Elephas maximus indicus: one gene and its partner. The protein of the gene in region 1 binds, or shares a complex with, the protein of each later gene. Links are inferred from orthologs where the notes say so. Each region holds a gene or a part of one and is shown on either strand. Other genes may lie near its edges.

Region 1 (7,988 bases):
AAAGGGATACTAGAGGCCAGGGGCTGTGCCAGGTACTTTCTAGTACCTGGTTAATTAGCTCACTCTCCCTCTGAAGCAAATATCACCATCCCTCATACATATAAAAGAATTCCAGCTCAGAGGCCAGTGACTTGCCCAAGGTCTCTCCTCCCTGGACTAAATGGAATGCTGGGCCTGGACACCATGTCTACTTGCCCACTCTCTCCAATACCCCTGGCTGCTTTTGGGACCTGCAGTAACAACTACCTCAACAGCGACAGATGGAAACAACACACAAGCTCAGCAACAGGGTTTGGCTGAAGTTGCTGAGGCAGAACTATCTGGAATATTCTGTAGGTTTTTAGAGGGAAAGTCAGACGGGGGAACAACATGAGAATGTGTCTATGGGCACAGCATTAAATGAAAACTGGTGTTAGGGCACACACCAGAGGAAGGAATAGAGTCAGGAAGAGACTGGCAGGAAACTTCAAAATGCTAGCAGTCACCCCGTCAGGTGAAGAAAGAGGGAATGATTTTTGTTTTCTAAACTTTCTGTAGTGCTATTTTGTCACTTTCTCACTTCAGGATATTAGTCCATGAGTAGTTTTCTTGTAGTGAACCTGCTTCCCTGGGACCTGCCTGCCCTCCCGCTCTGGCCTTGGTGTTTTGGACCTCGACAAATGACGCCTGCCTCTTCTGCAGTGGGACAGCCTCTGGGACGCAGAACAGCCCCCAGACAAGAAAGGAGATGACCAGTGCTCGCTCCCTACCTCCTCTTTCCCAGGCCAAATACTCTGTTCTTCGGGAACTGGGTGTCAAGCCTTCAAAATCCCTCAAAAGATGGAACCCAGAACTGGATCCAGGCCGTCCTTCCAATCAGGACACGCTGACAGGTCAGGCCACCTGGCGACTTTTGGGGCAACCACGTCACTGTGGGATCTCAGGCCTCAGCCCCTGCCGGAGCTAGTTTGGAGAAAGCTAGAACTCTGCCCCTTCCCCAACACTTGCTGTGGGACACTGTGGTGGCTCAGCCTCTCTGGGCCCAGTGCCCTTTGCAGTGGTGCTGGAGGACATCTTTCTTGTCCTCAACCCAATGCAGAGACAACAGCAGCCACTTCAGAGCGGGCAGAAGGCACCAAGTTCACCTAGAAAAAACACTTCCCTGCACACATGCTAGCCTAAAGCTAGATTCCTTTCCACAAAGGCCTTGGGTCCCTGGGCCTCATCCTCACAGCCCAGAGTAGGTAAAAAAGCGCCCAACCACATCCAGCCCCAGCCCCAGCCCCTCAGGCTGGAAAAGGAAGTCGGGTAAGCGGAGCCTCACAGGCCCAGGACAGCTGGGGCCTCTCTACTGAGCACATCAGGGCAACAGGAAAAAACTCTAAACCAAGGGCAGGGGTCTTGAGCAGGACAAAACTGTCAGCAGTCCTAAGGAGGCCCAGACACAGCTCAGCATCTTCCAGGGGACAACCCACCTCCCTCTCGGAGCAAGAGGATCAGTCCACACTCCTAACCTCACTCTCGTTGCCTCTGCCTTGTGCCTGCTGCAGATACACCACGGCAGACACTGGAACCCCCAGGGTGTGGGGGGAGCTTGGAACAGACCCTGCAGGTGTCCCTACCCTGACAATGCTCCCATGCCAAGGGTGTAGGGCACTGCCAGTGGTCACAGGGCTCCCACATTCTCCATCCTGGTCCCATTCATATTCTGAACTTGAACAAGCTCCTGTGCCAGCTGGGCTGAGGAGGAAGGGGGAGAGGGAGAGCTGGGTCTGGACTAACCACTAGGCTGCTGCAGTTCAGGGCTAGGGGCTAGAATCCAGGCATTCTCGCCTTGCCACACAGGTGCCCACCTGCATCCCCTGCATCCCACCAGTGGGACCCAGCCTCAGACACCAAGGGGAAATCCCATGGGCAGTGCTGATGGTGCCTGAGCCCAGACCCAGGCAGAACTGGGGCCGGAAGCCCTCTCCCTTCTCTTGGGCCTCTGCCAGGGAGCACATGCTCACCCCACATGGTCCCTCCTGGGCCAGGGTGGGGACCTGCATCCCTGATGCATGAAGGCATCTGCCTGACTCCCCTCCAACCCCAGCAGCCCAGCTCCACAGAACAGTGGATGAGACGACAGCTGGCCTAACTCTTCAAGAGTCCTGGGGGAGCAACCTCCCCCTTTGAGCCTCAGTTCCCTGGTCTACAAAATGGGCGGGGAACTGAACCCCCAGTTAAGCTCCAAAGATCTGGTGGCTGGACACGCCCCTTCCTGACACCTGGCCTGGGCCCTGCAGAGAATGGGCTGACCAGGCTGTCAGGAGGTAGGGGCATGGTGTCACCTTCATCCAGGAGTGAGGCCTGCCCAGTTTCCCCACCCAAGGGTCAGAGGTCCCTTGGCTTAGACACAGTCATCTGGGAGGCTGAGAGAAACAGGTTCAGTCCCAGGACCTGGGCCTCTGGCAGGGCTCAGGGGAGCTAGCAGGGCCTCAGTGAGGGAAAGGTCAGACCCAGACAGGCCAAGACACTTGCAGGGAGGTCTGGGCAGGGAAGGGGCACTTCCAGAAATGCAGCCCATTCTCCAGGCCCTGGACCACGTCGGCCCTCTCCCTCCAGGCTCCAGCCACCCCTCACTCTTGAGCTTCACACAAGGGGACCTCAGGGTGCCCTGGGGCAAGTCTGCGGGGCTTGCTGAGCAGTGCCTCCTTCGAGTATTCCCCTCCTAATCCGGTTCTGACAGTGACTCCCGGGAGAGTTCGAACTCGGGAAGGAGGGAGTAAGGCAGTGGGGGATGGGAGTGGTCACGACGGCGGTGTAAAGAGAAGCAGGACGTGCGACCTCCCTCCTCCTCCTTCCTCTGGGGGACACAGACGCTGGCCTTCTCCTGGGCTGCAGGGCACTCACCTCTCTCGGGGCACTGAAGTCCGAGCCACCTCGCCGCGGGCGGCATCAGCGGCCTGCGGGACGGTCCATGCGGCCAGAGGGGAGGGAAGGGGCGCAGGGACCCCCGGGGGGTGCGATGCAAAGAAGTATAGGTGCGGAAAGAGGGGGAGGAGGGACGGCCACACCGAGGCAGGGGGATGGCCGCGCGGCCCGGGGCGGAGAGGGAAGAAAGGCGGGGGAAGGGGGGCGGGAGGGAGTCGGGGGGAGGAAACAATGTAGCCGGCGCGGCCCCAGCAGAGTTCCGCTTCCGAACGCCGCCGCCACGGCTCGGTTTTGGAACGTCGCGCCCGCTGCCGGGGGCCGTCCCGGACACTCGATCGGGGGCCGCGGGGGCTGCCCGCGCGCGCTCCACGCCCCGGAGCCTCAGGCGGCCACAGGCTGGCTAGGCGGGAGGGACGGCTGACCAGGGGACGGCCCCGACGGTGGCGCGGCCGGGAGATCGGCCCGCTCGGGCTCCACCCCAGCAGGACCCCAGGGCAGGGCGCGGGGTGGGGCGGGAGCGGGAGGGCGGCGACGGTCTCGGTGGCGGCGCCCAAGCTCGGCTCGCCCAGGGCTCCGCTGGGAGGAAGCTCGCAGGCCTGGCGAGAGGAAGCGCGGCCCGGATCCTCCGCCCGCGGCAGCGCGCCTGCGCGAGGGGGCCTGCCCGGTGCGCGGCGGGGCGTGGGCTGGCGAGGCGGCGCCCCCTATCGGGCGCCGGGGGCACTGCGGGGGGTGTGTCTGCGCCCACGCCCTGCCCCCACCTGCCTGTCTGCGTTGGAGGCGCCTAAAGGCCCCTCCCAGAGGGCCGACCACCCGGCCTTGGAACAAGTTCTGAACCTTCTCCGGGCCTAGCTCCACCAGCGTAGAAGCGGTGGAGGCTGGGCCTGGATCCTTCTGGAGTCAGCCCGCGCAGAGTGGGCCTCATTCGCAGCAGCAAGCATTCGTTCACACGTTCACGAACGCTTCCTGGCGCCAACAACCTGCCAGGCCATTTTCAGGGGTCTAGTAAGACCCCTTCACTGCTGTCAAGGATGGAGAGACTGACAGGCCAAAAGACAATAGCAAAGAACTAATTGATAAAAGTGGGGAGGTGATGTACAAGGTCCACAGGAAGCAGACAAGAAGGGAGGGCTAATGGGGGACTTCACTGAGCCTAGGACGCCAGGCAGAGAGAACGGTGTGGACAAAGGCAGGGAGAGGTGGGAGAGTGGTGGCTTCTGGGAAATATAAATAGCTCCGTATGGCTGCAGCTTGCAGTGTGGGTTAAAGGCGGTAGTGGGAGACTAGGTCTTGGGGCAGCAGGGGCAAGAGAGATTACAGAGAGTCTTGTGGGACTTTCTGAGACTTTATTTTCAGCCTGGAGCAATGAGGAAGTTGTTAGTAGCTGTGTGACCTTAGGCAAGCTGCTTAAAGTCTCTGTGATTTCAGTTTCCCCGTTTCATCAAATGGGGAAAATAATAGCAGCAACTTCTTAGGGCTTTCTGGGGGAGGAAATGAGTTAATGCGTTTCAAGTGCTTAGTGTGCAGTTGCTGGAACATGGTGAGCCTTCAGTTAAGTGTTGGCTGTTATTATATATCACTGTTAATGAGAAGCAGGCAGGTGATCTGCTCAGAGCCACAGACCAGACAGCTTGTGCTGGGGTGAGAGGTGGTGGGGGGAGCGCAGCGATGGGGACACCAGAGATGCTAGTGTAGGTAGGAGGAGTCAGGGCACCCCTAGGGACTGGGCCATAAAGAAAGGGTCAGGCTTGGGTTGGCAGAGAAGAGGGGGCATTCCTGGGAGTAGGGGGAAGCGGTGAAGCTTGCTGGCAAATTCTTGGAATCTGAAATAAGTATGAAGGGGCAGAAAGAGTGTGAGGGACAGTAAAAGGTCCTTTGGGACAGAGAAATGGGGAGAACAGTATCTGCAGATTGCAAAGAGTCTTGAATGCCTGGAGTAGGAACGGTGTGTGCCCCTCAGATACACTACGGGTTGTCCCTCTGACCCACTGCATCCTGGGGCCAGCATCTCAGCAAGGGGCCGCCTCTATGGGGAGGAAAGCAGTAGAAACACCTTTGTGCTTTGAGGAGACATCCAGTTAGTCTGGCATAGTTGTGGTATAATGGAAAAAAGTATGAGTTTTGGGTTCAAATCTCAGGATTAAATCTTGGCTCAGCCACCTACTAGCCGTGTGACCTTGGACTAGTTACCTAAGGTCTCTGAGCTCAGTTTCCTCTTCTGTCAGACCAGGCTTAAAGTGTACCTCTCTCACATACCTCTCTTTGGAGAGATGGTGCAGATTCAGCAAGATAAAGGCCTGGGGATGGGAGGGTGGGGAGAGAGCTTAGCAGGTTGGTTTCCCTTTCTTTCCTTTGAGGTTGAGGTCTAGACGGAATGACAATGGGGGGCTGGTTGGGGTGGGTGGAGTTTCTCTCAGCCATGGACAGGAAAGCTCTTCCGCAGCTCTGCAAAAGTTTCTAGAAGGGAGAATTGAGATCTCCTTCCCCTCCTCTGGTTTAGCTACCAGGATGGGAAAGAAAGGACTGTTGGGATTTGTGGAAAATGCCCTGTTCCACACGGGCTTTGTCACTCACCCATCTCCATCCCCTGGCCCCAAACACACTTGACTCTTTTCCTTGCATGTGCTGTGGCCAAGAGTGTGGACTTTGGAGTCAAATAGACCTGCATTTGAATCCTGGCTCCAACTCTCCACAGCAGTGTGAACTAAAAATTTTAACCTCTCTGAACTCCAGGCATGGGGATAAAACCAGGAGCAAATCAGTCATGGCCTCGTCCCGCAGAGCTCCCTTTCTTTTAGTGGGAGAGTCAGACAATTAGCCTCCAACCTCGTTTCTCATCATTTATTCATTCAACAAAAATTTACTGAGCACCTACTAAGTGCTGGAACCCTGGTGGTACAGTGGTTAAGAGCTCAGCTGCTAACCAAAAGGTCGGCAGTTCGAATCCACCAACTGCTCCTTAGAAACCGTATTGGGCAGTTCTCCTGTGTCCTATAGGGTCACTCTGAGTCAGATTCAACTCTGGAGCAACAGGTTTACCAAGTGCTAGGCACTGTCCCAGATGCTGGAGATGGAGTGAACAAGACTTCCATGGTTCCTACCCTAGGGAATAAATAAATAAACAGGGTCATTTGGCCCTGTAGTATGAAGGAAGTGAGCATGTGAGGGACTATGGAGAGGTGAGGCTTTGAGCTCTGCTTTCAGACCAGGAAAGGATTGAGCCAGCCTTTTTTTTTGGGGGTGAGTGAAGGAGGGCGCTTCAGGCATAGGCAACCCAAACCCATTGTCATCGAGTTGATTCCAACTCATAGTGACCCTATGGGGTAGAGTAGAACTGTCCCATAAGGTTTCCTAGGCTGTGATCCTTATGGAAGCAAACTGCCACATCTTTCTCCCTTGGAGTGGCTAGTGGGTTAGATCTGCTGACCTTTCGGTTGGCAGCTGAGCAGACACTTAACCACTGTGCCACCGGGGCTCCTGGCAAAGGTTAAAGACCTGAGCTAGGAAAGGGCCCTGGGGCTTGAAGGACAGCCAGAGGGTGGCCTCAGATAGCAGGGGAGGATGGAAGAGAGGAAGTAAGGAAGCCGACAGGGGCCAGATCCAGAGCCTGCACTCCAGAGATTTTTTTAGGTGAGTTTGGGTTTGATTACGTGAGCAGTGCAGGAAGCTGTTGAAGGACTTTAAGCAGGGGGGTGACATAATCGGAAGCATTTTTTTTTAATTTGCATTATTTCTTAGAGATTAGATCAAATTAAAACAAAATTATTTTATTATTTTTCTTGTTGAAAATAAAAAAAATTTTTTTTTTTTTGAAAATACACACGGTAAAAATATACCAATTCTACTTACCAGGAAGAAAAAATGAAGTCTTGATATATGCTGCAATATGGATGGAGCTGGAAGACATTATGCTGAGTGAAATAAGTCAATCACAAATGACAAATATTCTATGGCCTCACTTACACAAAAAGACAAGAAAACGCAAATGTATAGAGAACAAAGTTTATTAGTGGTTACCATGGGCAGAAGGGAGGTGAAATGGGGGTCAATAGTGATGAAAAAATCACGTTGATTAAGGGTAGGGGTGCAGAGCTGACTATTATAATTGTTGTCATTAAGTTGTACACCTACAAAAAGCTGAATTGGCAAAATTTGTGTGATAGATTTATTTACAACGATGACCCAAAAATAAATAAATAAATACATAAATAAGAGTAGCTGCTGAGGCTGCTTAAGTACAACCAAAAACCTCATGGGATTTGGTTCCTTGGTTTGAAGGTTTAGTGTCACGGTTTCATGGGATATCCCAGTTAATTGGCCTAATGTGTTTAGTGCTTCTGTTCTACCTCCTAGTTTGTTGCATGGTGCCATAGGGTCTTAAAAGCTTGCAGATGGCCATCCAAGGCACAACAATTGGTTTCTATTCACCTGGAACAGCAGAGGAAAAAGGGAGTCAGGAATAGAAGGAGGATATGGAATGTGTGGCTATTTGCCTCCATGAACAACTGCCTCCTTTGCCATGAGACCAGAAGAACTAGATGGTGCCCAGCTACCATTAGTGCACATTTTGATCAAAGATTCCACAGAAGAATCCTGATCAAAAGGGGGAAAATACAGAACAGAATTTCAAAGTCTCATGGACTCCAGACTTCCTGGAGCCATGAAGGTTGGATGAACCCCTGAAACTATTGCCCTGAGATAATCTTCAAACTTTATACCGAAAATATCCCCTGAAGTCTTCTTAAAGCCAAAAAATAACCCAAACCAAACCTGCTGTTGTCAAGTCGATTCCGACTCATAACGACCCTATAGGACAGAATAGAACTGCCCCATAGAGTACCCAAGGCTGAAATCTTTACGGATTTCTCCTATAGAGTAGCTGGTGAGTTTGAACTGCTGACCTTTCGTTTAGCAGGTGAGCGCTTTAACCACTATGCCTCCAGGGCTCCTAAAAACAGTAGTTTAGCTTAACTAGTAAAGAATGTCTGCCTTGGCATTATGCTCTTTTAAGAACTATCTATATGGGATCAAACTGACAAGAGTAACTAAAAGATCAGATAGGAACCTTAGGGGCAGTGAGTTCATGTTAATGAGGGAGG
Region 2 (7,012 bases), on another chromosome or scaffold:
CTGCCATCTCGTCATCATCTCATCTTTGGAAAATGCAGTGCCGTTCATAAATAGAAATTATACTAGGTGTGGTTGACAGTTACCCAGACAATTGCCAAGGCACTGGGGCTAGACATCATGCAGTAGAGAGAAAATGAAATAAAGCACACAGAGAAGTCTGAGGCTTTAGTTCCTACCCGGAAAACCTACACAGCTAAAACACTCTGGACTTGGAGTAAGAAGGCCTGAAGTGGAGTTCTGTCACTTTGAAGTGTTTTGAATTTGACCAAATCTGTTACCCTCTGAGCAGTGAATCTTTGATTTAACCTGTGCTGGGCTGAAAAAACTTACAAAAATATATAAATAAACCCATAAACCATAACCCATTGCCATCAAGTCGATTTTGACTCATAGCAACTGTAAAGGTCAGAATAGAACTGCCCCATAGGGTTTCCAAGGAGCGCCTGTTGGATTTGAACTGCCAACCTTTGGTTAGTAAAAGTACTTTACAAAGTTACTGTGAGGATCAAAAGAGATAATATATACAAATATATATTTATAAAGTATAAAGTCCAATAGATTAATTGGCTATGTTAATATTCCTTGGGCACTGTATTAGTTAAGTGGATGGCTTTAACAAAGAGAAAATTATTCTTATTGGGTACTAGGCTACAAGTCCAAATTCAGGTCGTCAGCTCCAGGGGAAGGCTTTCTTTCTCTTTTGGCTCCGGAGGAAGGTCCTTGTCATCAGTCTTCTCTTGGTCTGGGAGCATCTCAGTGTAGGAACCTCAGGTCCAATGGATGCACTCTGCTCCCTGCACTGCTTTCTTGTTGGTATGAGGTCCCCAAGTCTCTGCTTGTTTCCCTTTCCTTTTTGTCTCTTGAGAAATAAAAGGTGGTGCAGGCCAAGCCCCAGGGAAATTCCCTTTACATTGGATCAGGGAGATGACCTGAGTAAAGGTGGTATTACAATGCCACCCTAATCCCCTTTAGTATAAAATTACAATCACAAAATGGAGGACAACCACACAATACTAGGAATCATGGCCTAACCGAGTTGACACATGTTTTGGGGGGACACAATTCAATCCATGACGGGCACATACTACCGTGACTTCTGCTTGGTCTCTACTAATCAAAGATTTATTTGATTTGAGAAACGAGGCATATATTGGTAGTAAAGTGATGTTCTGACAGCTATTTTCATTAGAAAAATCAAAGTTTCCTGGGTACTGTAAAATTAAAAGAATTATTAAATTTTGAACAGGCACAGAAAACTTAGCATTGGGCAGTCTTAGGATTGGTAGGGTAATGTGTGGTCACTTGCACCAGCCTTTCACTAGTGGTTGGCATTTTCTCATCCACTTTTTCCTAGACTACGTGCAGTGGCTGATTGATTCAATTATTCAGCCACTAAATCTAGCCAATGAAAACTGACTATATTTCAGTCATTACTAAAAGATGTTGATATAATAGTGAGGAAAAACATACATAGCCCCTGTCCTTGAGGAAAGTATAGCATAGAGTAGGAGACAGATAGTTTTCATGTAATCACACAAACCATAACAACTGGTTGGAAAGAGAGGTACATAATGCCACAGAAGCTGATGATTTCCATGTTTGATATTGTCAGAGAAGTGAGGGAAGACTTCTCAAAGAGTAAGACACATGAATTTTAATCTGAAAGACGAGCTGTAGTGGGAAGAAGGTGAGGAGGGGAAAGAAGAATATTCCATGAAGGCGAGCAACTTGTGTAAAGGTTCTGTCTTAGTCATCTAGGACTGGTATAAAAGAAATACAGCCAGTGAATGGCTTAAAATTTTCTTAATATATTTTTTTAATTGAACTTTAGATGAAAGTTTACAGAACAAACTAGTTTCTAATCAAACTGTTAGTACACACATTGTTGTATGGCATTGGTTAACAACCCCACGGCATGTCAGCACTCTCCCTTCTCTACCCTGGCTTCCCTATTACCAGCTTTCCTGTTTCCTCCTACTTTCCAGTTCCCGCCCCAGGGCTGGTACACCCCTTTAGTCAACAAACAGAAATTTATTCTCATAGTCTAGGAGGCTAGAAGTCTGAATTCAGGGTGTCAGCTCCAGGGGAAGACTCTCTTTCTGTCGGCTCTGGAGGAAGGTCCTTGTCAACAATCTTCTCCTGGTCTAGGAGTTTCTCAGGCACGAGGACCCTGGGTCCAAAGGACATGCTCTGCTCCTGATACTGTTTCTTGGTGGTATGAAGGCCCCATATCTCTAGGCTTGCTTCTCTCTTTTACATCTCAAAAGAGATTGACTTAAGACATACTGTATCTTGTAGAGTCCTGCTTCATTAACATAACTGCCTCGTTAACAGCATAGAGGTAGGATTTACAACACACAGGAAAATCACATCAGATCACAAAATGGTAGACAACCACACAATACTGGGAATCGTGGCCTAGCCAAGGTGACACACATTTTTGGAGGACACAATTCAATCCATGACATTCCACCTTTTGGCCCCCAATAATTTATATCTTTGTCATATGTAAAACACATTCACTCCATCATACCATAGCAAAAGTCTTAAATCAACTCCAAGCCCAAAATCTTCTGCAAAATTCCTCTTCATCTGTGAAATCTAGAATACAAATTATCTGCTTCCAAAGTACAACGGTGGGACAGGTACAAGGTAGACATTTCCATTACAAATGGGAGAAATTAGAAGGAAAGAAGAGACATTTCCATTACAAATGGGAGAAATTAAAGGGAAAGAAGGGACAATAGCACCAAGCAAATCAGCAGAACACATTACATTAGCTCTCAAGGCTTGAAAATAATCCTGTTCTCTGAGACAATTTAGGCAATAGCCCTGCCCTCCAGACTTTGGGTGTTGGCCACACTCACCTGATTCTGGGTGGAGGCCCTGGCCTTCAGCTCTACCTTCCAGGTCCGCTGAATGGCAACACCCTTCCCTCGCATTTGGGTGGCCCCATTCTCCTAGTCTTCTGAGTGGCAACTCCACCCTTTGAGACTGAGGCAGCTTTGCTTCCTGTGTTTCTTGTCTCTTCAGCTTCTGCTTCCTGGTTCCTTGTCCTCTTGACCCCGACTCTCGGTACCAAATTTTGTCTTAGTCATCTAGGGCTGGTATAACAGAAATAGCACCAATGGATGGCTTTAGCAAAAATAAATTAATTCTTTCACAGTCTAGGAGGCTAGAAGTCTGAATTCAGGGTACCAGCTCCAGAGGAAGGCTTTCTCTGTGTGTTGGCTCTAGAGAAAGGTCCTTGTCATCAATCTTCCCCTGCTCTAGGAGCTTCTCAGGTACAGGGACCCCAGCTCCAAAGGACATGCTCTGCTCCTGGCACTGCTTTCTTGGTGGTCTGAAGTCCCCATGTCTTTCTGCTCACTTCTCTCTTTTATATCTCTAAAGAGATTGACTTAAAACACAACCTAATCTTGTAGATTGAGTCCTGCCTCATTAACATACCTGTCTCTAATCAAGCCTCATTAACATCCTGGAGGTAGGATTTATAACACAGAGGAAAATCACATCAAATCACAAAATAGTGGACAGCCACACAATACTGGGAATCATGGCCTAGCCAAGTTGACACACATTTTTGGGAAACACAATTCAATCCATGACAGGTCCTGAGGCAAGATGAAGCAGGGCAGTATGAGTAAATGAAAGACGGCCAGAGTAGCTGAGTCACAGGATGAGGGGTTATAGAGGAAGATGAAGTTAGAGAGGTTGGTGGATGCTGAAGACCAGGTAAGGCCTTGAAGGCTTTGTTAAGGAGTTTGGAGTGTTTCCAAAGAACATCAGGAAGCTACAGAGAATTGTAAACAGGCGTGTCGTGACCAGATTTGTATTTTGGAAACAAATATATCACTCTTGTCATGGTTGGTAAAATAGACCAGAGATGGGCAGAGTTTGATGTATTAATTTTCTGTTGCTGCTGTACTAAACTACCCCAAACTTAGCGGCTTAAAACAGTGTAGTTTCTGTGGATCAGAAGTCTGGGTACAGTATGGCTCAACTGGGTTTTCTGCTCAGGCTGTCACAAGATAGAAATCAAGAAACCAGCTGGGGCTGCAGTTCTCATTCAGTGCTCTGCTCCTCTACCAACCCATTGGTTGTTGGCAGAAATCATTTCCTTCTCCTGCTGTCCATGCAGCCCCTTCCACTTTCAAGCCTGTGAAGGCAGGTCAGATCTTTCCCACGCTTCAAATCTCTTCGACTTCCCCTTCTGGCATATTTCTCTTACTTCCTTTTCTTCCATGGGGAGAAAGTTCTGCTTCTGTGAGTTCATGTGGTTACATTGGGCTCACCTGGATAACCCAGGCTCCTCTCCCTATTTTAACATCAAACATTAGTAACCTTAGTTACATCTGAAAGGTCCCTTTTGCCATGTAATATAGTTTATTCATGGGTGTGACACCAGGGGGAAAGGTTATGGGGGCCATTATTCTGACTGCCACAGTTGACATAGGGATACCAGTTAGAAAGTTATTCTAATAGTACAAGCAGGACAGCTTGGTTACCTGGACTAGAATGGTGTTGGTTGAAATGGAAAAAACTGAATGCATTAGAGGAATCTTGGCGAATGAGGGAGAGAAAGGTGTAAAGGAAGACTCCATGGCTCTGTCTTACACAGCTGGATGAATGGGGAGCTCTTTATCTCACAGTTCAACATTTCCATTTTGGGGTGGTTCTCATCATTTATTCTTCTTCTCTGATCTTTTGATTTTACTGCACCACGTCTACTTTCAACCTGTATTTCTTTCTATCTATGCATCCCTTCATTTCTGCAAGAAGGCAGTACCCCTGCAGAAGCCACTGGCCTCCTACCATTATTGGAAACCACCGCAAATCTGTTTATTAGTTTGTTTATAATTATACATATTATGCATGTATGGATTATAAGAATCCATCCATACATTACAGATGTCTAAATCCAAGAGAATAAAATTTTCCACCTCAGAACTAACCACTGTTTATAACTTAGAGTTTATTCATCTGGATTTTTTCAATATATGTAAATAACTTTTTCAGAAAAGGGCTAACAATATAATGGTTTATTTTCCTCAGTGATGTATCTTGGCAATTCTCCCATGTCACCACATATAGATTTATCTGGTTCTTTTTAACTGTGGCACACTATTCTATTAAATAGATGTGCCATAAATTATTTAACCTGTCCCTTATTAATGGACACATAGCCCGCTTTCAAGTTTTGCTACTATAAACAAGGCTGGAATCCGCATCTAGGTGTAGACATCTCTGCCAGCTTGTGTGATATATCTCAGGGATAACAACCTAGAATTGGAATTGCTGGGTCAAAAATTAGACCCATTAACATTTTATGTGTTATTACTAAATTGTCCTTCAAAAACACTGTTGCAGTGTGTTTCTTTCACTTAATCCAGGAGTGCGGGGGCGGGAGTGTGGGGAGAGCATGGTTTCACTTAGAACAAAAGGAAACCCTCTCAGTGAAAAAGCTAAGGCCAAGTGTTATCTCTTTTTCTAGAAAAAGTAAGATTTAACAAAGATAACACATTTGTCAATACTGTACTGCTGGTGCTGTGCGAGGTACTGGGAATACTGTGATGATGTTGAGGTGATTCAAAGAGTAGGAACTCAAGGATCCCTGAGCCCAGTCAGTCCACAAAGCTAGTTCCAGTTGAGTCAACACTGACCCGTGTGTGTCAGAGTAGAAGTATGTTCCGTAGGGTTTTCAGTGGCTGATTTTTGGGAAGTAGATTGCCAGGCCTTTCTTCCTAGGCACCTCTGGGTGGACTCAAACCTCCAACCTTGCAGTTAGCAGCTGAATGCATTAACCCGTTGCACCAACCAGGGACTTCTCAGCCAACAGTAGGCTGGCGCAAAATGTTAAGGAAGCACAAGGGAGAAGATATTAGCTCTGTCTGGAGATGGGGAATATTTCTCATTTAAGTCTTCTTAAATAGGATTTTAGGGGAAAAGGGTGACTGGGTTGTATTCATCATTGAAGAGCCCAGGGGGGTTGCAGGATGGCCAGTAGATTTTTGTGGCTGGAGAAATAGGATACAGGGAACAAGGCTGGGAAAGCATGTGATCTACGTCTGGTTCAATTAAGAGTGATTTCTCCTGCAAGTGAGAGAGAAGGGAAAAGCAGTGGCTTGGACAAGTAAGAGTTAATTTTTTTAAATTAGAATTCTAAAAGTAAGAGGCTGAGGGAGCTGGCTCAGTGGGTAAACTGTTTCAGGGTTAGTATCTCTGTAATTTTCTTGGACTTTCTCTCATTTTTTTTTTTCTCTCATGGGTGACAAGATGGCTGCCTCAGTTTCTGGTATCACATCTACACTCAAACCAAGAGGAAGAAGGAAGAGGTGGTGCCACCACAACTGCATCAGGAAAGGAAAAGCGTTTTCAGAAGCCTCTACCGCAGATTTCTGTTAGTCTCTTACTGGCCACCACTAGGTGAGAGGGAAGCTTAAAGTGTGGAGAACCAAAAAAAACACTTGCCATCAAGTCAATTCCAATTCATGGTGACCTCATGTGTTACAGAGTAAAACTATACTCCATAAGGTTTTCTTGGCTGTAACCTCTAAAGAAGCAGATTGCCAGGTCTTTCTTCCAAGGCATCTCTGGATGGGTTCAAACTCCTAACCTTTTGGTTAGTAGCTGAGCACATGACTGTTTGTACCAACTAGGGACTTCACAGAATGTCATAATTGGCTTAGTCCAACTATGGTCATTGCTGGGAATTAATTAAGTCTCTTATAGCCAGGACAAAGAGAGAGAGATAGGTATTACGAGATAACTAAAGCTACCTCCTTATGGCTTAGATTTTGAAGGGCCTTGTACATTTTTTTTGGGTTGTACACTATGCTAAGAAGTATGAATTCCTTCTTGGTGTGCCAAAGGTAACCCTCAACTTGCCATAGCGTTTCTAAAAGTTACTAGTGGAGATTGTTCTTTCCCAAATAATTTCAAGGTTCTGGACTTAGTGGAGAATTATTTCAAAGGGACTACTATTGATCAAATGGACAACTTTCCTTATTTA

What was found. Proteins that work in one complex are often made in the same cells at the same time.
Region 2: the proteins of CSK (region 1) and PAG1 are in contact, whole or in part, in an NMR structure (PDB 2RSY), measured with the Rattus norvegicus proteins. The link is inferred for Elephas maximus indicus from reciprocal best matches to the Homo sapiens genes CSK and PAG1. Residues at the interface, in NP_001025210.1 of Rattus norvegicus: Thr88, Arg89, Glu93, Arg107, Ser109, Thr110, Asn111, Tyr112, Thr117, Cys122, Glu123, Lys125, Val126, Glu127, His128, Tyr129, Arg130, Ile140, Asp141, Tyr156, Asp161, Gly162; in NP_071589.1 of Rattus norvegicus: Phe291, Ser292, Leu294, Tyr296, Lys297, Ser298, Arg299, Glu300, Glu301, Leu305, Ile310, Met313, Tyr314, Ser315, Ser316, Val317, Asn318, Lys319.

Annotation. Positions count from the first base shown.
Region 1 is NC_064831.1:64,865,786-64,873,773, reverse strand, and holds the start of CSK (tyrosine-protein kinase CSK), read right to left. Parts: upstream 3,049-7,988; 5' UTR 2,872-3,048; intron 621-2,871; exon of another isoform or gene 1-620. UniProt on the Homo sapiens protein: Non-receptor tyrosine-protein kinase that plays an important role in the regulation of cell growth, differentiation, migration and immune response.
Region 2 is NC_064833.1:60,390,405-60,397,416, reverse strand, and holds the start of PAG1 (phosphoprotein associated with glycosphingolipid-enriched microdomains 1), read right to left. Parts: upstream 3,051-7,012; 5' UTR 2,868-3,050; intron 1-2,867. UniProt on the Homo sapiens protein: Negatively regulates TCR (T-cell antigen receptor)-mediated signaling in T-cells and FCER1 (high affinity immunoglobulin epsilon receptor)-mediated signaling in mast cells.